Caenorhabditis elegans: one gene and its partners. The protein of the gene in region 1 interacts with the protein of each later gene in a pairwise test. Each region holds a gene or a part of one and is shown in the gene's direction. Other genes may lie near its edges. The genes, in order: pqn-54, brc-2, ZK792.4 and Y39B6A.1.

Region 1 (4,282 bases):
GCGGATGCAATCGCAATCAAGAACACAAAGATGCTGGCCAAACTGACACCATCAGACGAAAAGTGCTTCCAATCAACATGTGGGTCCAAGTTTGTAGCGTTATTCCCGTCGAAAGAGTGAACCATATCGTGCCACCAAGTTCCCATAGTGAAGTTTCCAAAGTATCCACCAAGGTTCATAGGAGATCCCGGGAGGAACACGGATATAACTGCTAGAACCGCAAAAAACTGCTGAACAACCAATCCCAGTAGTCCTGAAGTGGCGACACTGTATCGCTTTTCGAAGAATGCGTAGGAAAACGCTCCAAGGATCGCAGTCACGGATCCATAGGATCTGAATGCTCCGATAACAAATTCCGGAAGCCCTACACTTGAGCCATATCCTACAGCTAATCCATCAAATCCCATCACTGTCATGAATAGAAGACTCATTCCAAATGCAGCTGGGAATGAGATCTGGCACCAGTACGTGTAAACCACAGATTCTTTGAGCCTTGAATTGGCGAATGGGTCTAGCGCTTCATCTTTCTTGTCTTTCTTCACTTGAAGCAGAGGATTGGAGATGTAGATTGCTCTAAGGAAAATGGTTTTTGAAGCCATTGAAACAAGAGAGGCTATACCAAATATTCCAACTGTTTCACGAAGACCAACCCAGGTCACCAGAGCCTTAACTTAGTTTGTTTTTACTTTGGAATTAAAAAGCGAACACAGAACTAACACCAGTTACTAACGGTGCAATAACATTGGTACATTGATCCAATGTCAACAGAGTTGCGTTCATATTCGACAGTGTACCATCATTTCCGAGTACCATAACCCAATCTCTGCCTGTGATGAACTTTTCCGCGTTCAGGAAAAGCCGGTTCACCGCGCATATGCACATTGCTAGAACCAGGCAGACTATGTACCACGGTGACGTGGCATCGATAGACAGACAAGCTTAAAATATTTTAGCTTCGAGTACCTACATCAGTGTCAAATTAGAACTCACTGATAATAAGAGCAGCTGCAGCACAAATACTCAAATTGTTCAACGGTACGACGGTCATGATTGCTGAAATTGAAAACTTGATTTTCTCTTACAAATACTCACGAAATAAGTATTTGATTGTAGTTTTTGTTAGGTCAATGTGATACTTGAACAAATCATTTTTGCAGTAATCGAAATTTGTAAAAATGAATCGTTCACGTGGAGTCAGAACGTCCCATTTTGCTGTGATCTTCGAAAAATGCGAGAGAAGAGACGCAGAGATCTCATCTGATTTTGCATGGTTAAGAGCGTGCTGACGTCACAATTTTTCTGGTAAAATATTCCCATTTGTCGTAGATCGAACCGCAATGAGGCAGGCTGACACCACGGGATCGTTTAGTTGTCTACCGTACCCCGTTTCCTCGAGAGCCCGTCGAAATGCTTTCCTAAATATCCGCTGAGAAACATTTGCAAGACTCCCTCGAAAAGCTGCTCAATGGAAACCACTCTCATACCACCCATCAGGTCCATACAAAGAGAGACACAGAATGACCAAGCCCTGTCTTCCTGTAAATAGTATCGAAAAATTGAATGTTCATGTTTTTCCACATTGAACTAAAAAACAATTTTGAAGTTTATAAAAGTATGCGAATTTCTTTTTTTTTCTTCCTAGTTTTAAATTCCCTCTACACTCACCAAGCATGTCGAAATATAGGCACAATACAAAAATATGCTCGTTTTCGAAAGGGTGCCACTGTTTCGTCGATTATTCGGTTGTTGAAAAGTCATTGTCACAGGAATCAAACTGGAAATCTCTGCACTTCCATCGCCCGCGACACACTTACTGATTTCCATGTTAGCGATAACCTCTATATATTCTGTGATAACGGGCAGGAAGTTCAACAAAGTGTTGGTGCACATACATCATGAATTTTTTCTCTTGTCAATCAAAGATTATTTGAATAGGCCACTCGAGTGCACTGCTCACCGTCTCTTTTTTTTTCATCTTTGCTCGTCTTACCGAACACTTTTTCACGCGATAAATTGTTTGCCGCGCGGCATGAGAAGGCGGAAGATGGTTGGGATAGTTTCAAGCGAGATGGTATATAAGCCCACAATCAAATGGAAATACTCATCCGATACTTTCGGCTCTAATCATGCGCTTCACCTCCCTCGCCATTGCCTTCTTCGCCTGCGCCCTAGTGGTGTCTGTAAGTTGTGCAAGATCTAAAAATTTGAGTCTACGAATATTAATTTTCAGGGCAATGTGCTTCGTGAGAAGAGACAATGCGGATGTGCTCAACCCCAGCAGAGCCAATGCTCGTGCCAACAGGTTCAACAGACTCAATCGTGCTCGTGCCAATCTGCTCCAGTTCAGCAACAATCCCCATCATGCTCTTGCGCTCAACCACAACAAACCCAGAATGTTCAGGTTACTAGCAAACTTATGCTATAGCTCCAAAGAGAGACTTTCAGGTCCAAACCACTCAATGTGCTCCAGCTTGCCAACAGAGCTGCACCCAACAATGCCAGGCTGCACCATCGGTAGCCCAGTGCCAGCCACAATGCCAACAGCAGTGCCAATCCCAGTGCGCTCCAATGTACAATCCACCAGCCACCACCACACCAGCTCCAGTCGTCCAATGCCAGCCAATGTGCCAACAGCAGTGCCAATCCACCTGTGTTCAGCAACAACAACCAGCTTCCCAATGCCAGCCACAATGCCAGCAACAGTGCAACGTTGCCTGCGATGCTCCAGCCACATCCACTCAGGCACCACAAGTAGTCCACATCCAACTCGAGATCCAACAGGCTCAAGCTCAATGCCAACCACAGTGCCAGCAACAGTGTCAATCATCCTGCACCCAACAACAACAGCCAGCTAACCAGTGCAATTCGGCTTGTAACAGCCAGTGCTCCAACATTTGCCAACAAACTGCTCAAGCCACTCAACAGGTCTACAACCAGAACTCTAACACCAACACCCAAATGTACAATCCATACAACAACAACAACCAAGGTTCCGGATCCGCCAACTGCGCCCCAGCCTGCCAGCCAGCCTGTGACAACTCCTGCACTTCTCAGACTCCAGCTCCAATGTACAACCCATACGATGCCAGCACATCCGCCCCAGCATCTTCCCAAGCTGTGATCCAAATCGTTCTCCAATCCTCCGTCGCCCAGTCCTCCCAGTGTACTCCACAATGCGAGCAGTCGTGCCAGCAGCAATGCGTTCAGCAACAACAACCAGCCGCTCAGTGCCAGTCTGCCTGCCAGGACTCGTGCTCCAGCTCCTGCCAAGCCGCTCAGCCAGCGACTACGGCTTGCCAGCAGAGCCCACAAAGCCCACAAAACTCGTGCTCCTGCCAAGCTAACTACTCTCCATGCGGAAATGGACAGTGCTGTAGAAGAAAGTGAACGGACTCTGAACAATGACTTCAAGTTTTTGTATATAATGAAACCAATTAGTTTCACAAGAACTTAATAAACAACTTTGATATTTTAATTGATTTACATTATTTGGTTTTTTATTGTCTAGAAAATGAACAATGACTACAAAACTTATAGCTGGCTCACAGTTTATTGACTAGATTAGCACTAAAAAATAACATGGCCGCTTTTCAAGGAAAGGTTTTTATTTTATTTTATTTTTTAATGTCAGACTTCAAAACGAGACAAGTGCCATTTAAAAGTGTTCCATAAGGATATATTACTACAAAATTTTAAGCGGCAAAGCTCCACTCTCAACCCCTCTAGCATCGATCTGAAACTGTTACAGTGCACTTCTTCACTACTTTGGAGGCCTGTAGAATTGCTCCAAATTTTTTTTGTTGCAAACTTTCAATGTTTTTCAAAACGGTTAAAAGTAGGTAAGCATTCTGGAAAATTTTTGAAAATTTTTAAATTTTTTCAAAAAATCTGAAAAATTTTTGAACCGAGTGGAGTGGATTGAGGAAATTTTTAGATTTTTTTTTCAAAAATTTTTTAAAATTTTTAAAAATTTCCCAGAATGTAAACTTATTTCTAGCCGTTCTAAAAAACATTGAAAATTTGCACAAAAAAAATCAGGACCAATTCTACTGGCCTGAAACAATTTAAGATCGAAATTTTTGGGGTTGAGAGTAGAGCTTTGCCGCTTAAAATTTTGCAGTGACATAGCCTCATGAAACACTTTCAAATGACACATGATGGTTGCATATTACGAAAAAATGTTTCCTATCGATATGTCTCGGTCACCATAGAACCAAGTCTAATGTGAACACGAGACCATAAGAGACATAGAGAGTGAGACGCATTGCATCTTGTGAGTGAA
Region 2 (5,491 bases), on another chromosome or scaffold:
GTAGAGGGTACAGGATTTGGGAAAAAAAAAGACTAAACTGATGCGAGTAAAGTGCAATAAAAGTGGGTAAATATGAAGAAAAAGGTGGGTGAGGAAGGAAGAATTGGAAACAAAAAAACTAAATTTAAAGTCGATTTGCAGACATTTTTTGCTCGACTGGTTGGCTTGATGATACACTTGAGAGCTTGGAAATCATGATATTATCATCAAAAATATCATTGATTTTATCAACTTTTATAGTGTCTCCTTCATCAGTTAACAAGATTAATCCGGGTGCTTCAGTAAGCTGAAAAAGGAAATTCTTGATTTTATTTCTAGAAAATTAAAATTTACTTTGAAATCCACGGCTTCTTTGCAATTTTTGTGTAGTATCGATCGATTTTCTGGAGATGAGAGACGAGCCACAATGTCTTCTGCGATTTTGAATGAGATTCCAAGTTCACGGCATACTGTAGACATGTGACACCCGTAGTGAACTGGAAGTCGCTGCTCCCAGAGCCGTTTTCCCAAGTGATGAATTGCTTTTTCATAGAGGTCTGGGTATTGTTCACGGATTGAAGTGAGGAACAGCTGAGGGATGACCGATCCACGTGCTACCGCTGTTTTGTAGGTCTAAAAATATTTGTTTGAGAATAAATATTCGAAATCAATCTAACGTTTTTCCAATCTACAGGTGGCACGACACGCTCACAACCAATAAGTTTCTTGCCACGCTCGTCGATTTTTTGTAGAATTCCCATTTCTGAGAGTGTTTCTTCGCTTTCTGCTTGCTCTGGAACTTCTGAAATAACTTTCCCGCGATTATTTGGATTTCTATATATTTTCAAACTACTTACCTATTTTCGTTTTCCAAAGTCTCGAATTGTGTACTTGTCGACGTTGGTTCCAGATTTGAGCATTATGAAGAATTCCAATTTTAAAATCACAAACTGGCTCAAAATCTATACGCTCGAATAGAGAATTGTGTGATGTAAGAGCCTGAAAATTATATTTGATTTTCTTTCCATCTTTTTTTATTTTCGGGAATAATAAAACATTCAAAAAGGGCTGAGATCTATCTATTTTTCACATGCGACCCATTTCTATTTCACGTGAAGCACATGATTCTGAAGGGCAATGGAAATGAAAACCCGGAAAAACAAAATCTTTCAGTTTAAATTGTATCAAAACAAGTTTTTCTAGATTACAAATGTACCTGAATAGTGATCCATGAATTGGGACAGACCACATCGAAATAACATTTCACACGTGGCAATGGAGCCATTTTGAAGTTTGGCTGAAATTAAATTTATGTCGAGAAATTAAAAAAAATCAGAGCGTCATCATGAGAAAATAGGAAAGGTTTAGACTGTAAAATCAGGTTTTCATGGCGGGAATGACATTAAAATGGTGATAAGGTGATTATTTTATCAAAAGAATTTTTTGAATGATTGCACCTAAAATCGAGTGCTTTTTCTTTAATTTGATTATCAAAAGAAAATACCCAAGAAATGGAAAATGAAAATTTAAGAGATGAAAGGAAAAAGCGACCCGGAAAAACATCAAGCTGGGAAGAAATCTCAACTAGTTAGACCAAAGCTTCGAACTCTGCGAGCATGTATTTTTTTTCCTCACTTTCTCCTTTTCTTCTCTATTTCTCTAGATCTTTATTACTGCGGGGGCAAAAAGAGTAAGAGATAGAAAAGAATGACGCAAAAAATACACGGATTTAATATTTGCTTTGCTTTTTTATTCAGAGAGGAAAGGTCAATTGGGGGTTTCCCCTCGTTTTATGAATGAAAACCGCACATAAATATAATTATTTCCACAGTTTTAAACGGCAGAAACGGTTCGTGTTATAATTTGTGAGATAATTGATTTTGCATTACGAAATTAGAAGAAAAGGCGGAAATAAATAAATTAGTGTCGCAATTTTTTTCTCAAAAAGGAAATAATGCAATTACGCTCCACCGGACAGTAAAATTCTCAGTTTATTTGAAAAACAAAAATTTAATTTTTTCCCTTTTTTTCAATTGAAATCTCAAATTTCTGAACTCAAAATGAAATTTTCAGACTTTACCAGAATATTGTGACATCGACCGATGGGTGACTCATCTAAAAAAGTGTTAGTCAAGATTTATTTTATTGTTATAGCAAGAAAATTGAGAAACATACATGAATTGCAATTCTTTGTTTTCAGAAAAGACAGTTTCGACACAATATCTGAACCAGACAGCTTTGATGAGCCGAAAGGCGTACCGATATCAATGGAACCGGTTTTTTCAACAGCGGCTGGTATCCGAATTGATGTGAAGCAGGAATCGATTGATAAATCAAAGAAGATGTTGAATGTAAGCTTTGGAATTAAAAGGAAATAATGGAACATATTCTGAAATTAACTTCGACAACACATTTATTCTTCTAATATAAAAAATTTCAAATTCAGAGTGATCTCAAGAGCAAATCCTCGTCTAAAGGCGGATTTTCTTCCCCTCTCGTGCGCAAAAACAATGGGTCGAGCGCTTTCGTTTCACCGTTTCGAAGAGAAGGGTAAGTTTCAAAGGTGCTATCTAGCTCGAAGTTTTTCTTTTCAGAACGAGCTCAACAACTACAAAACGGCCGGCTAGCGGCGGTTTCGAAGATTTCGAAGCTCCACCAGCAAAAAAATCAACCAGCAGTTCTTCTAAAAAAAGTAAAAAACATTCGAAAAAAGAAAAGAAGAAGGAGTTTAAAGGTTAGTTAAGCTCTAGAATTGGCTCTCCTTTTTGAAAACTGTTCTTTATTCCGTAATTCTCGTAATCCGGAGTCTTTTTTCAGAAATCCACGCCGATGTTTTGCGTGTTTCTCGAATCTACGAAAAGGATAAATTCCGAATTATTCTTCAAGAATCCAGCTCAACTCCTCTAATCCTGGCCACTTGTAGCTACAATCGTGGCTCTGATATTAAATTTGGCGACAGAATTCATGTCGACGCGGAAGTCTGTAAAAAATGTAATGCTCAATCGATTGTAGCTATTGATTTAATTTTTCGTAAACTTTCAGCAAGCTCAGGCGATGTTACAGAAATCTATATTGATAGAGTTCTGAAAAATAAGGAAAATGGTGCGAAATCCGGTATCCGACGCCATTCAATTGCCAAGAAGCCGTTTTGCATCAAACCCAGATGTGAGCCATTTCGAGTTTTCACCTAAAAAAATTATTATTTCAGTTATCCACGAATTGTCAGACACGAAAATCAAAAAAACAGTTGTCCAAGTTAACTTACTCGATTTAAATTTGGATTTTTATGCAGGGTACATACTGATTCCTTGATAATTAATATAATAATATTGGTTTCAGATGTTCGAAATGCAAACACTCTCTCCCAGAAGCAGCGAATCAATGCGAGTTTTGTAAGGATTCCCAAGGAAAATCTGAATTGTCGATGTATTCTAGAGTATGTTCTTTATATTTATATTGCCTATTTCCTAATATAGAACATTTTTAATGTTTTGGATAAATAGCCTATTTTCAGCTAAAATCTCAAATTTTTCCGACTTGTCAGTGGTGCGGCGGTCGGAACTCACTTCTGCGAGTTGTGACATTGTCAAGTTGACAAAGTTTGAGATTTTAGCTGAATTTAGATAATTTTTTGAATTTTAGTTTTTGGGAAGTATCGTTACAAAAAAACTTCAGGTGCGAGTTATGGACTTCTCCGGTCAAATGTTTATCAATGTGACTACAAAAAATATGAAGAAATTACTCGATTTGTTAGGATATGAAGGATTTGACAATTGGTTCCGATTCAAAGACCCCCAGGAACGGTGAGATTTTTGCGGCGTTTTAACTTTCAATTTATAATTTTTTAAATTCCGTTGCATTTTTTCAGACAAAACTATGTGTTCCGCCCTGTTATGGTTGAAATCGAAAAATCGAATGATGAATGGGAATGCACTGACGTGGCAGAAGTCGACTGGAAAGATTTTGGCTCTTACTTGAAACATAAAGTATAATTTATTGATACCGAAAAATTACAGAGAACATTTTTTGTTTCACATATCATAATTTTAGAAGTCGGCCAGAATTTCAGACATTTTCTTCATTTTCTTATATCTCAATTGCGTTAAATTTTTTTCTCGAATCTGATAAATCAAAAAAATTCGCCAAAAATCCCTAAATCACCCAAAAATTTCACATTTTTGAAAAGGTTGCAATTTACAAAAAAAAACTTTGACTTGAAATTTGAGAAATCTAAGAATTTTGTAGTGTTTCATTATGATTATCGGTCACGTTAGAGTGATAAGTGTGCTAATTTTACAATTTTAATTAAGTCTCAAAATTATATCAGCTAAAATTTAATAAAATTCCATAATTTTTCAGGAAGACAAGAAGAAACGCCGTTCGAAAAAGAAGCATCCATAATATTCCATTCATGTGAATATTCATTTAATCATGTTTCATTTATTTTATCATTTTTTTGTTGTGTTTATTCGTTTTAACGTAGATGGTTCAAATGCTTTAATTTATTCTCAAAGAATATCCCCGTTCTAATTTTATATGTTCCCCTTCTGTTGTTTCCATGTTAAAGAATTATTATGAAACGATGAAATCTTCATCAGAAATTCGAAAATTTAGAAAAATAGAAACCCGAAACAAGAAAATATACAAGTACAAATACAAGTAGGCACACGTCATTTTGAAGTTGTGGTCTTATAAAGACAATTTCTAAAACCCAAAATGTTTGGGAAATCGAGAGATAAGGGGGGATCAATTGGAAAATAAATTCTATGAATTGATTAAAGTTGGAAGGAAGGTGGAACAGTCAGAAGATTGTTATTATTGCAATTTTGTTCGGAGATTTTCAGTTTTTCAGCCAATTCTTTGTCTTCAAGAGCTGCCAGAGCAATTGTAAATTCGCGTTTTGTATTTTCCTCCTGCACATTATACAATGTCAATGAGCCCGAGCCACGGCGATTTTTGCATCGAAGTCCACGTCGAAGGCATTCGGATTCAAATTGAGATCCTGGAATATATTATAGTTTATTGATTATGTATTAAAGCTGTGATTTTTGCTTCAAAATACGGTAACCGGCCTCGACACGACAATTTTGGTTGAATGCGACAGGTGTGTGCGCCTTTAAAGGAGTACTGTAATTTCAAATCGTTGTGACGATTCCGCAGAAATGAAAGCTTGACGATACAGTAGTCTTTATAGGCGCGCACCTTTTTGAAGATTCCAAAAATTTGCCGTGCCGAGACCTGGTACCGTATTCTTGGCAAAAAATCGGACAATTTCGCGTCTGGAATACGTTCTGACAAAAGTCGACCTGACTTTTCAAAAAATGTAGTTTGGTTTCAACAATTTTACTTTTAGGTTAATAATAATTTTAAAGCTCGTGGTTTTTACTCACCTTTAACTTTTGGACACCTCTTGACTGTGCATACTTGACTTCTCAACTGCTTTTCCGATTCATTACACTGCTCGAACCATTCTTTTGTGTAATCACATACTGTATTAGTTGTAACTGCACAT
Region 3 (6,072 bases), on another chromosome or scaffold:
TGAAACTCTTCAATTCGAGTCTGAAATATAGTTAAAGTTTAGCTTGATCTTTTTCACCCTTGGTCACAGTTCCTCGGCTCGGACGTAGCTTAAGTTAAAGGCCAGTAGGAGCACCACCCTTACTTCCAGTTCTGGAGTGCATATGGCTTGAGGAACGCATTATTATCCTTATTTTTAGATTTTAGATTTATTTGAAGGTGTTAAAAGGTGTGTTTTCAACTGAAAAATATTTATTATTTCTTTTTTCTACAGTTTGGTTGTGAAATACTTTTTGCTCATTTCTAAATAAAATGTGCTATTAATGTAAGGTAAATTTTCAATACATGGTGCATCGTTAACTACCACTTCTAAGGTTTGAACGCTGATATCTCGAGTTTCTTTTGTTGTATGAAAAAATATGTCGACTGAAAAGTTTATATATATATATATTCTTAGAGTACATTCCAGATAGAATACACTTGGAAAAAATTCAGAACTGTGCAAACAATATTCAAAGAAATTTTTTTCTGACAAGTCTTTTAGATAGATATTTCACATCAATGTTCAATTTTTAAAGTCAAGTATATTTCAAATTTACCATAAATAAGTTCTTGATTTTCCTCAAAAAAATATATTTTCGTCTGATTTGTGCTCAAAACTGTGTTTATTTGAAGTTGCTCAATATTTGTAAGTCTTTTCTTGTGTCGCGCATGTCAACAGAGACACATTCCCTCTCAAACAGTAATTCGGTTTAGTACTCTTCTATTCCACTTTTTCATTTTTTTGTCTGTGCACGTTCCAATTCGTTCACTTTTTGTGCTCGTTTGTGCACATTCAAGAGTGAGTCCTTGATACAAAACTTTTGTCGAAAGTAGTACTTTTACAAGTAATACAGGACTAGTTACTTGTTTAGTCTGAAATATTTGTCGCTTTTTCAACTTTCTGCTTACCGCCTGATTATTGATTACAAAGAATCACAATTTTGAGTCGTCTTAAATAATCCAACCTGCGAAAATCTTAAGTTTAATGGTGAAGTAGCGTCAGTTGGCAGTTTGCTAAAAATACAGAACAGTGGTTTAAAAGTTTATTTAATTGAAACAATCGAAGATGCTTTAGAATTTTCCAAACTTGTCAGCCAAAGTTTTTGCAAATTGTTAAATTTTCAAAGATTTTTTTTTGAGAAATTTCTAGCAAGCTTGCATGTTCGAAGCCCTACTGTTACTGTTTGTTACATACAATTTAAAAATTAATAAAATATAAAAGGTTTTTTATGTAAAATTATGATATATCAATGTGTGACAGCCATTTTCGACTTGTAAATTTTTGTAAATTGAGTTGTGGAGTAAATTGTAAAGTAAGATTGTAAATAGAAATATTAAAAAAACACTGATTTATGTTTTTTTTTAATTTAAAAATTTCTATTTTTTCTATTGTATTTTATTTTCCCGGAGAGTGTGAATTAAAAAAACAGTTTACTTGGCACTGCCTTGCCGTTTGGCTCTTTGATCTTATTTTTTAAGACTAGATAGACTTTGAAATATTGAAATCCAATCTCATCAAGTACAAAAGATCGAACAAATATTCGTTTCGCGCTCTTTTCACGTTTCCTCGCATTTCAATTGACAGGTTATTTAATCATTAATGATCAATCACATTTTAATTTCAGAATTCCAAAGTTTCAATGTCATCAGAACGTAGTGGTCCCAATGGATCATTGGAAGAGTAAGAACACTTATGAAATATGTTTAACAAAAATGTGTATTTCAGTAACGGTGACTATTTGCCATTAGAAGTAATTGGTGAGGAAAATTCTTTAGATGAGAATCATGTGTGTGAAGATGTAATTATGTCAATTACAAATAAGCATGTGCAATGTTTGGCGAGGTATGTAATTTAGTTACTTTTGCTCTCATGCTCCACGTTTAACTTTTTGTTCATTATAGAAATATGATTTCAGAACTATAAAAAAAAATTTCAAACAAAATTTTGAACTTTTATGACAGTTTGAAGACTCGATTTTCTGAGTGGGTCTCACCACGATCTCAGTCATTGAAGCTTCTAAAGATGCCAAAATTTATTTCATTTCTCGCTAGTTTCTTGCCCAAGTTTGGCCTAAAAAGTATTAAGGCAAATGTTGGGCAAAATTTTGGCAAGCCTAGGTTTAGCGGCACCCAAGTTACCGTATATTCTCTATTAGTGCTGCATGCATCACTAATTTCAGGCCCTTTTTTAATGCAGCACTATTAGAGACTGCAGTACTACTGGAGACTGCAGCATTAATTTTCGAACGGCTATTTTCAATTATAGATCACTAGTTTTTAGTCCCAAAAACTCATTTTTAAGCAGAAATTCATAAAAATTGCGAACTTTTGTAACAAAAAAACCCAATAATTCAATTACTTATTATCAAAAAATCATCAAAAATATACAAAAAAAACCAAAAATATCGAAACTGTCAAGTAACTCTTTCAATAGAAAATGGGGTGCAGCACTAATAGAGACTGCAGCACTATTTTTCGGACCCTTTTTGAATGCAGCACTATTAGAGACTGCAGTACTACTGGAGATACAGCACTAATAGAGAATATACGGTATGTTTGAACGACAGACTTTCAAATGTTTAAATTCCAGATTTTCGAACAATGACCTGCTTGCCAAGGACACTATCGGTCAAAATGCTCTTCACATGGCAGCCCGGGTTGGAAATTTGAACATTTTGAAGTGAGTGTAAAGATGCAGATGAAGGAGGGCAATTGAGTGCTTTTCCCTTCCGGCAGATCAGCTCGGAATTGATATGCGTTGGAAGGGGAGATGGAAGAGCAAACAAAAAGAGAAATCAGGTCATTGACGAGAGATTGAGATTTTTTGCAGGTACTTACTGGACAGACTTCCCGAGCTTAGGGACATCCAGTCGACGAATGGTGAAACTGCAGCACACATCTCGGCTGCTCATGGAGGTATTGAGAAGGGGATTCTGAGTTGGAAATGTTGGGAAGGGAGCCTTCTAATCTTATAATGAAGACCTCAAAAAACTTTTTTTTGGACGAGCCAGTTTTTGCGCTTTTCTCAATTTATGGGTGTAAATTACAGAAAACTTTAGATTGAAGAAATTTTCAGCAGCTTTCCATGTGAATGTAGCTCAAATTTGAAGATTTTCAAGTGAAAAAAAAAACCAAAAGGTTTTATTCATACAATTCTCGCCAAAAAGTTTGTGATGAAAATATTTAATTTTTAATTTTTAAATTTGGCTTTGAATAAAGAACAATGGGGAACAAAAGAGTGAAATCCGCGAGCCTTTGAGTAATCTGTTCTAAAAATTCCGAAATTACCATAAAACAAATTTAAAATCTCAATAGCCCTGGCGTATTTGATTTAATAGTTATCCACAATGAAACCTTAAAAATTGTTTCTAAAAAGATAAAATTACTGATTTTGAAATACAATTTTCCTAGATATGCGAGCACTTGAAATTCTTCTTGGCGGCTCCCTAAAATCGACAATGAATTGTGCAATGACCCGTGACGTCAACGGAACATCCATTCTTATGGCCGCAACTGCTCGTGGTGACACTGACATGAGCATCTGGTTGCTCAGAAAATTTGGAAAAGCACTTGCACTTCTCGATAATAACTGCAAAATGCTACCAGTTCATGTGGCAGCTGCACAAGGAAATATTGAGTTTCTTCGTGCCGCAATCAAGTTTGATAATCAAATGGTAAATGCAAGAGATGAATTTGGGTGTACTCCATGTGTATATGCTGTGCAAGGTGGATGTCTTGGAACTGTTCGATTCCTAGTTGAAAAGGCTAGAAGTGAAATGGGATCAGTGAGTAATAGAGGTCAATCTCTACTTCATATTGCATGTCTCTGTGGTCATGAACATATTGTAAGATGGATTTTAAATAGAAGTGGATCTGATGCTATTTTATGGACAACTAATGATAGAGCAAATGCTATACACTGTGCAGCATGTGAGTACATCTTTCTGATATTTTAAAGAAAAATGAACAAATTTCAGATTCCGGAAGTGTACCTGTTCTTTCTCATTTATTAAATGCATTCAGCAAAAAGAAGAGACATTATGTAATGACATTGAGGGATACAAGAGGAAATACTCCACTTCATTTGGCTGCAATGAATAATCATTTGGATGCAGCACTTTATATGGTTTGTGTTATAAAAGAAATTAGGGGTACGCGGCAATCGAAAATTATTAGCATTTGATGGTTTTTGATTTTCCAAAAACGAAAAATTTCTGAAATCGGTAGTCTCAAAAACTATGTGTATTCCGGAAGTTAATAAGTCAAGTCTTCATGTTTTTGCTTCAAATTTTAAAAATTATGAAACATTTGTATTTTCATAAATTTCTGAATTTATCGAAATTGCCGGCATTGTAATTGTGAATAAATATGTAATACACTTTCTTGTATTTAGCTTGAAAACGGTGCGGATCCAGCGTTGATCAATGCCAATGGTCACTCTCCTCAATCGATTGCAGCTCTCCGGCATCACAGAGAAATGGAAAGACTTGTGGCAGCTTATCAAGGGAAGCGAAGAAAGAGCAAGTCAAAGAAGAAGTCACAATCGATGCATGATCTATCACAATTTGCTTCTCCAAATCCGAATGGTCCAATTAGTCCAGGAGGTGTCACGAGTTATTCAAGTAATACAAACGGATTTGAGACGGCTGAAAGAAGAGCATTCTCGCCACGTGAATTAAGTTCGGGGTACTCGAGTAATGGAGATGTGGCTGAGTCGATGTAAGTTTTCAAAGAGGCTGAATGCAAAAAAATTCCAATTTCAGTAAAAGCGAGGCAGAAATCGTTCGCCATCGCCTCCGATTCATTGAAGATGACATTGATTCCCTCCGAGATACTGGTGCTCAAACAGAAATGGATCTTCTTCAGACTCATGTCAAAGTGCTTGATGATAAGACATGGGCTGGTCTCGGTCTTTCAGCTGTTGAACATATTGATCGAGTTCTTGATGAACTTGAATTTGAAGAGTAAATCAAGAGATTTTAAAGATTTCTGTATAACTTCTCATAACTTCTTTCAGTTTTTATTTACCGTCAAGTTCTTTCTAACCCTTTTCTTTTCTTCAAATTTTTAAATTGTAACGCTCGTATCGTTTGTGAAATTTACTTAAGAAACATTTACAGATCTCATTTTGTATATTCGTTGCAATTTGTTTTATTATCAAATAATTTTCCCAGAAATAAAAACTTAAACACAAAGTGAAGATTACTACTTTGTAAGTAGTTTCATAATACAAAAAAATATGGAAATGAAAGAAATTAGTTCCTGGTTTTCTGAATATCGTTGAACTCGTGGGAGATGATATAGATGCGTTGATCTCTGACCTCCTGAAAAATTTAAAATTGTAGAAATTATTCAAATGGCGCTTCTGGGGCACGCATCTCCCGCATTTTCCCTCTAGGAAACGATAAGTAAAAATACATCAAGACAATCTATATTTTATTAATTGAAATTTTCGATTGATTGGAGTAGTATTTGTTTTAGTTGAAAATCGTGGAAAAATGCTTTAAATTGTCCTAAAGTTCGAACTTGAAGTCAGTCCAATTTAGAACGGTACAGCCGGCTTCAGCTGAGTTGGACTGACATCGAGAAATGAAATACTTACCAAAAAGTCGTTGTACATCTCCACGGCAACTTCCGATGCAACCAAATCACTCTGAGCCTTGACGAAACTCAAAATAATTTTCCCGTCCATTGTGAGATACTTCTCTCCGAACTCTTTGAACAATTCCTTCTGATCGACAATACCATGATCCCGAATGCTGTGAAGCAAGCTGTTGATGATGTAGGGCTTCGCGATATGTGTGGCATTGTAGATGTGAGCAACGAGTGTAGAGAAGATAAGAAATAGGAGCCAAAACCTAAAGAATTTCAAATTAAATGTCAAAAGTTGAAATTAAGAACTTGCCAGAGGAAAAGGAAGATTTTCTCATTAAATACATTGATTCCAATCAGACATTCAACAGTTTCCGCACGATTGTTTCCGGCAGTCTCACGGATTTCAAAGTCACAGAAGGTGACACGTGGGAATAATCCAGTAGTTTCCCAGGTAATT
Region 4 (5,495 bases), about 18 Mb from region 1:
TTTCTACTGATTTTAAAAAAAAATCCCAGGAATTTGGGCAATTTTCCGTGAGAATTGTCTGAAAATCCCGTTCTAAACCGGAATTTTCAGTCGAAATCGCGTATTCAGCTCGACCAATCGGTGTAATTTGTGCAAACACCGTCACGCGCAAATGCAGACATTTTTGCACGCGGAATTCTCATTAAAATGCAATTCTCATTAATTTGTCAGCGAAAAGCAATAAAACCTCAACCACCAGATGCAGTTTTTGATTTATTCACGTCTTTTTCTTCTCGTTGCCACGATTCGGGTAACCGTTCCCGGAAACTTTGTCACGTGGGGCCACTCTATATTCTCGGAGCAATCGTAAAACTACATCAAAATTTGATAAGGAAGAGGAAAAACGAGTGGCAGCGGCAGAATGACCGATAATCAATTATGGAGAGAGAAAAACCTGCTGATGGCACATTTTTCGAATAGTTTTGCGGTTTTTGGTTTCGGAACGTGGGGCGGAAATTGCTCCCGAATGCTGAAAATGTACAGGAACTGGAAAAAAGTCAAGGATCTTAAAAATTAGGCTGCCTGTATGAATTCCACGACAGTATGCTGTGAAATGCTTGAAATTTCAAGTCAAAGGCCCAAAAAATATCAAAGTTTCAGGAAAATTGAGGAAACATCGATTTTCGATGTTTTTCCGGAAAAACTATCCAGATTTGAAGCTTTTTCTCCTAATTTTCCCGGTTTTTTTTGAGAAAAAGTCAAAAACTCGAATTTTGAAGCCAGAAGATTGTCAGGAAACGGAAATTTCTGACAAAATTGCTCAAACTCCTGAATTTTCCACCGGAAACCTTCAAAAAGTGTAGTTGGTACTTCAAAAACCAGTTCAATTGCAGCAAATTAAGAACATTATAGAGATAAGGAGTATTAATTGTTGGTGCAAATAATGAATTATAACCACCATTGCAAGATTGAATGATCACATGATATTTGGAAAACTAGAAAACTAGTATTTCGAATTTCCAACAAAAAAAAGGTGTTAAGAGCACCATTAAAAGTTTGCCATCATCTTTGGAAATGCCACAGGCTCATAAAATAGCAGTTTTGGGTGTGGCTCTTCAGAAAACACAGTTTGGAGTTTTTAGGGGCAGTTGGGAAAGGTCGGCGGGTGCTGAAAGCTCCGAAAGCCCAATCAGAGCTGCTGAATTTGGTTAAAATCTGGAAAACCAGGAATCTAACACCTTGAAGCAACCCAGTGCTGCTCAGAGCTCTTGAGGGCAGCTAAAGCCAGTTGGGAGCTTCTAGAGGCCCATAGAAGCTTATCGGACCAATAGGGAGCTGCTAGAAGCCGTGCTCGTCGGAGCTGCTAAAATCTGCTAGGAGCCACTGGGAACTCACAAAGGACTTGAGGCCTATTAGAATAGTACAGGGCTCAGTAGAAGCAAATTAAATCCTTTAGAAAGCTTGCTTGAACTCCTAGGTCAGGCTGGAAGCTTCTAGAGACATTTATGAGCTGTTGGAGGCAATTGGAAGATTTCAGCAGTCGGGCTTTTCGGAATCACTAAGAGCTCGTGAAGGCACTTTAGATCTGCTAGACGATCACAAGGCTTACTAAAAGCAAATTGAAGCCTTCAGAAAGCTTGCTGGGCGCCTAGGCCAGGCTTTGAACTCCTAGGTCAGGCTGGTAGCTTCTAGAAGTACTTGGAAGGGTCTAGGACTAGTTGGAAGCCGCTAGAAATGTCTATGATCTAACTGAAACAATTAGAAAATTTTAGCAATCAGGCTGCTCGGAGCCACTTGAAGCTTATTGGAAGCAGTTAAACGTTCCAGAAAAGGTCAGTGTCCAAAGGTCAGGCTCTTTTTCGGTATGCTAGAACCTACCGAGACCCGAAAAATCACAAAAACCTCCAACTTCTCACACAAAACCCTTCAGTGAACTACTATAATACAATCAGCTGAAAATTTGAAAATTTTGAAAATTAATCAAATGCTGATGCTCAACAGCTGTCAGACTTCATCACCTCTCCTATTACCTCCCCAAATATTACATCACTCTGACAATCATCGTCCCAAATTTTCACGTTTCTCCTTCTCCGGGTGTCTTATCTCGATCTCTCACTTCTCCAAACATCATCAAAACTTTTAATTGCCTCCCGTGTCAAAATGGGCGGAGTCAAACTTAAGGGAGGCGGAGCCTAAAAAAAGCTTATAAAATGGGGCGGAGGAGGACGGTGATTATCAAAATTTTCGGGGCTTTTTCTCGATTTTACTTCTAAAATCCCTCTTAACTTTGAATTTCGAGTAAAATTCTGAAAATTCTGAAAATTCCAGAACCTAAACAATGACGGTGCACCATCATCATCACACCCACCACGTGTCGCTTCACAAGATCAGTGAGTTTTCGGCGCTTCCTGCCAAAGATCATTCTTATCAGTGAAATTACCGAAAAAATTAGAAAATTTCGGAAATGTTTGCCAACACAACACAACTGACATGTTATCAGTTGTAGTTTCTTAGTATCACCTACGGTAGTCAAAGATCATGATAATTTTCAGAGAAGCTCTTCTCGAAGCACTCCTCGCACGGGCATAAGCTCACTCGGGATGAAGCTCGCTCGGCGCTCCACGATATTGAGCACCTGGCCAAGGAGCTCCACTTCCAGAAGGTCTTTGATCATCATGCTCATGATGGACACATCTCATTGAAAGGTTGGTCCGGAGCTTTGGAATCTCTTAATAAACAGGAATATTTCAGGATTCCTGAGCTTCATCTCCCCACACCACGGTCACCATACCCATCATGCTCACGGAGCCCATCCAGGCCACCACGAGGTCCACCACCACCATCACCATGTGAAGGCTCAGGACTCGAGCAGCTCCAGCTCCTCCTCCAGCAGCAGCTCGAGCTCCAGCTCCTCCAGCTCATCCTCATCCTCTTCCTCTTCGTCTGAATCCGAGGACGAGAAGCACCACCACAAGAAGCACGCCAAGAAGCATCTTAAGAAGCATCACAAGAAGGCCGAGTCTAGCTCTTCCAGCTCATCCAGCTCCTCGAGCTCCAGCTCAAGCTCCTCTTCCAGCTCCTCATCTGAGTCCGAAGACGAGAAGCATCACCATAAGAAGCATGCCAAGAAGCATCTGAAGAAGCATCACAAGAAGGCTGAGAGCTCTTCCAGCAGCTCATCGTCAAGCTCCTCTAGCTCCAGCTCCTCCAGCTCGTCTTCTTCGTCGTCGGAGTCCGAAGACGAGAAGCATCACCACAAGAAGCATGCCGTGAAGAAGCATCACAAGAAGGCCGAGTCTAGCTCGTCCAGCAGCTCGAGCTCGAGCTCCTCCAGCTCCTCTTCCTCATCCGAGGATGAGAAGCACCATCACAAGAAGCACGCCGCCAAGAAGCACGTGAAGCATCACAAGAAGGCCGCTTCCAGCTCCAGCTCTTCCAGCAGCTCCTCTTCCTCTTCCAGTTCTTCTTCATCGTCTTCTTCCTCGGAATCTGAAGACGAGAAGAAGAAGAAGAAGGTGCATCACAAGAAGAGCCACGGAAAGAAGCATCACAAGAAGGCCGCGAGCTCTTCTAGCTCTAGCTCTTCCTCCAGCTCCAGCTCCAGCTCCTCATCTTCCTCAGAATCTGAGGACGAGAAGAAGCACGCTCCAGCCCATCATGAGCACCACGAGCACAAGGATGGAGCTCATCACGAGCACAAGGAAGGAGAGCACCATGAGCACGCAGCTCATCACGACGAGCACGGAGTCCACCACAGACATCATGGAGAGCACCATGGGACCCACCACTCCCCAGCTCATCACGGGGAACATGGGACCCACCACGGACACCATGGAGAGCACCACCATGCTCCAGCTCATCATGGACACCACGAATCCCATGGACACGGACATCACTCCCCAGCCCACCACGGACATCATGGGGAGCACCACCATGCTCCAGCTCATCACGGACATCATGGAGAGCACCACCATGCTCCAGCACACCATGGACACCACGGGGAACATGGGACCCACCACGGACACCACGGATCCCATCACTCCCCAGCTCACCACGGACATCATGGGGAGCACCACCATGCTCCAGCACACCACGGACACCACGGGGAACATGGGACCCACCACGGACATCATGGAGAGCACCACCATGCTCCAGCACACCATGGACACCACGGGGAACATGGGACCCACCACGGACACCACGGATCCCATCACTCCCCAGCTCACCACGGACATCATGGGGAGCACCACCATGCTCCAGCTCATCACGGACACCACGGACACCACGGATCTCACGGAGTTCATCACGGACACCACGAATCCCATGGGCATGGTCACCACGCACCGGCTCACCACGGACACCATGGGGAGCATGGAGTTCATCACGGACATCATGGAGCAGGCTACGGAGCTCACCATGGACACCACGGAGCCCACCACCACCACGCCCCACACCATGAGCATCACGAACACCATGGAGATCATCACCACGGATCTCACGGAGTCCATCACGGACACCACGGAACCCACCACTCCCTAGCACATCACGGACATCACGGAGGTCATGGGACCCACCACGGAGCCCATCACTCCCCGGCTCACCACGGACACCACGGAGCCCACCACGAGCACGGAGCCCATCACGGAGCCCACCACGGACACCATGACGACAAGGAGAACCACCACCATCATGGACACCATTCGAAGCATTCAAAGAAGCAGCACACGAAGAAGTCACATAAGAAGAGCCACTAGACGGGCGGTCGATGAGCTTCTGCTCGCCACAATTGATGCGTCACTGCATTACATGTACTTTTTGGATAAATCCTGAACAGCCTTTTTTTTTTGTTTGTATCGATTTTTCTAGCGAATTTGTAATTTTTTGTACCAATTTTTCCGTGTCGAATAAATTAATTTCATTGTGTTTAGTGGAGAAAAACGAAGAAAAAAAACATGAAAAATTGCGATAGCAGCGCCCAAATCTTGTAGTTTGTAGTTTTAGCAGCGCCCAAACTCACTTTTTCTTCATTTTTCCAATTTTTTGCCGAAAAAACAGTCGAAAACTAGGTTTTTTATACGAAAAATCGCATAGCAGCGCCCAAAACTTGTAGTTTGTAGTCTTAGCAGCGCCCAAAATTGAATTAGCAGCGCCCAAAACTTGTAGTTTGTAGTTTAGCAGCGCCCAAAATTGAATTAGCAGCGCCCAAAATTGAATTAGCAGCGCCCAAAATCTTGTAGTTTGTAGTGTTAGCAGCGCCCAAAATCTTGTAGTTTGTAGTTTAGCAGCGCCCAAAATCTTGTAGTTTGTAGTCTAAGCAGCGCCCAAAACTTGTAGTTTGTAGTCTTAGCAGCGCCCAAAACTCGTAGTTTGTAGTCTAAGCAGCGCCCAAAATTGAATTAGCAGCGCCCAAAATCTTGTAGTTTGTAGTGTTAGCAGCGCCCAAAATCTTGTAGTTTGTAGTCTAAGCAGCGCCCAAAATTGAATAAGCAGCGCCTAAATCTTGTAGTTTGTAGTCT

What was found.
Region 2: the proteins of pqn-54 (region 1) and brc-2 interact in a two-hybrid assay, tested with the Caenorhabditis elegans proteins (one large-scale study listed by BioGRID).
Region 3: the proteins of pqn-54 (region 1) and ZK792.4 interact in a two-hybrid assay, tested with the Caenorhabditis elegans proteins (one large-scale study listed by BioGRID).
Region 4: the proteins of pqn-54 (region 1) and Y39B6A.1 interact in a two-hybrid assay, tested with the Caenorhabditis elegans proteins (one large-scale study listed by BioGRID).

What each region holds. Positions count from the first base shown.
Region 1 is NC_003283.11:1,462,888-1,467,169, forward strand, and holds pqn-54 (Prion-like-(Q/N-rich)-domain-bearing protein), read left to right. Parts: upstream 1-2,102; 5' UTR 2,103-2,126; coding exon 2,127-2,180; intron 2,181-2,230; coding exon 2,231-2,401; intron 2,402-2,445; coding exon 2,446-3,387; 3' UTR 3,388-3,473; downstream 3,474-4,282. Other genes in the region: fpn-1.2 (Solute carrier family 40 member), read right to left, coding at 1-665, 718-938, 991-1,053, 1,383-1,536, 1,666-1,758.
Region 2 is NC_003281.10:6,899,668-6,905,158, reverse strand, and holds brc-2 (DNA repair protein brc-2), read left to right. Parts: upstream 1-2,052; 5' UTR 2,053-2,081; coding exon 2,082-2,104; intron 2,105-2,179; coding exon 2,180-2,330; intron 2,331-2,425; coding exon 2,426-2,529; intron 2,530-2,573; coding exon 2,574-2,713; intron 2,714-2,796; coding exon 2,797-2,970; intron 2,971-3,021; coding exon 3,022-3,144; intron 3,145-3,187; coding exon 3,188-3,272; intron 3,273-3,318; coding exon 3,319-3,415; intron 3,416-3,654; coding exon 3,655-3,782; intron 3,783-3,847; coding exon 3,848-3,965; intron 3,966-4,338; coding exon 4,339-4,380; 3' UTR 4,381-4,591; downstream 4,592-5,491. Other genes in the region: T07E3.3 (DSBA-like thioredoxin domain-containing protein), read right to left, coding at 125-286, 334-612, 657-781, 837-978, 1,196-1,264; T07E3.4 (F-box domain-containing protein), read right to left, coding at 4,755-4,981, 5,370-5,491. UniProt on the Caenorhabditis elegans protein: Required for the homologous recombination repair of DNA double strand breaks, thereby playing a role in chromosome integrity. Acts by targeting rad-51 to sites of DNA damage and stabilizing rad-51-DNA filaments by blocking ATP hydrolysis catalyzed by rad-51.
Region 3 is NC_003282.8:11,677,579-11,683,650, reverse strand, and holds ZK792.4 (ANK_REP_REGION domain-containing protein), read left to right. Parts: upstream 1-1,645; 5' UTR 1,646-1,660; coding exon 1,661-1,701; intron 1,702-1,746; coding exon 1,747-1,863; intron 1,864-2,030; exon of another isoform or gene 2,031-2,180; intron 2,181-2,610; coding exon 2,611-2,700; intron 2,701-2,716; exon of another isoform or gene 2,717-2,850; coding exon 2,851-2,936; intron 2,937-3,431; coding exon 3,432-3,950; intron 3,951-3,997; coding exon 3,998-4,146; intron 4,147-4,413; coding exon 4,414-4,739; intron 4,740-4,783; coding exon 4,784-4,988; 3' UTR 4,989-5,215; downstream 5,216-6,072. Other genes in the region: inx-9 (Innexin), read right to left, coding at 5,276-5,344, 5,623-5,878, 5,926-6,072.
Region 4 is NC_003283.11:19,200,420-19,205,914, reverse strand, and holds Y39B6A.1 (Histidine-rich glycoprotein-like), read left to right. Parts: upstream 1-2,307; 5' UTR 2,308-2,317; coding exon 2,318-2,369; intron 2,370-2,531; coding exon 2,532-2,684; intron 2,685-2,730; coding exon 2,731-4,733; 3' UTR 4,734-4,902; downstream 4,903-5,495.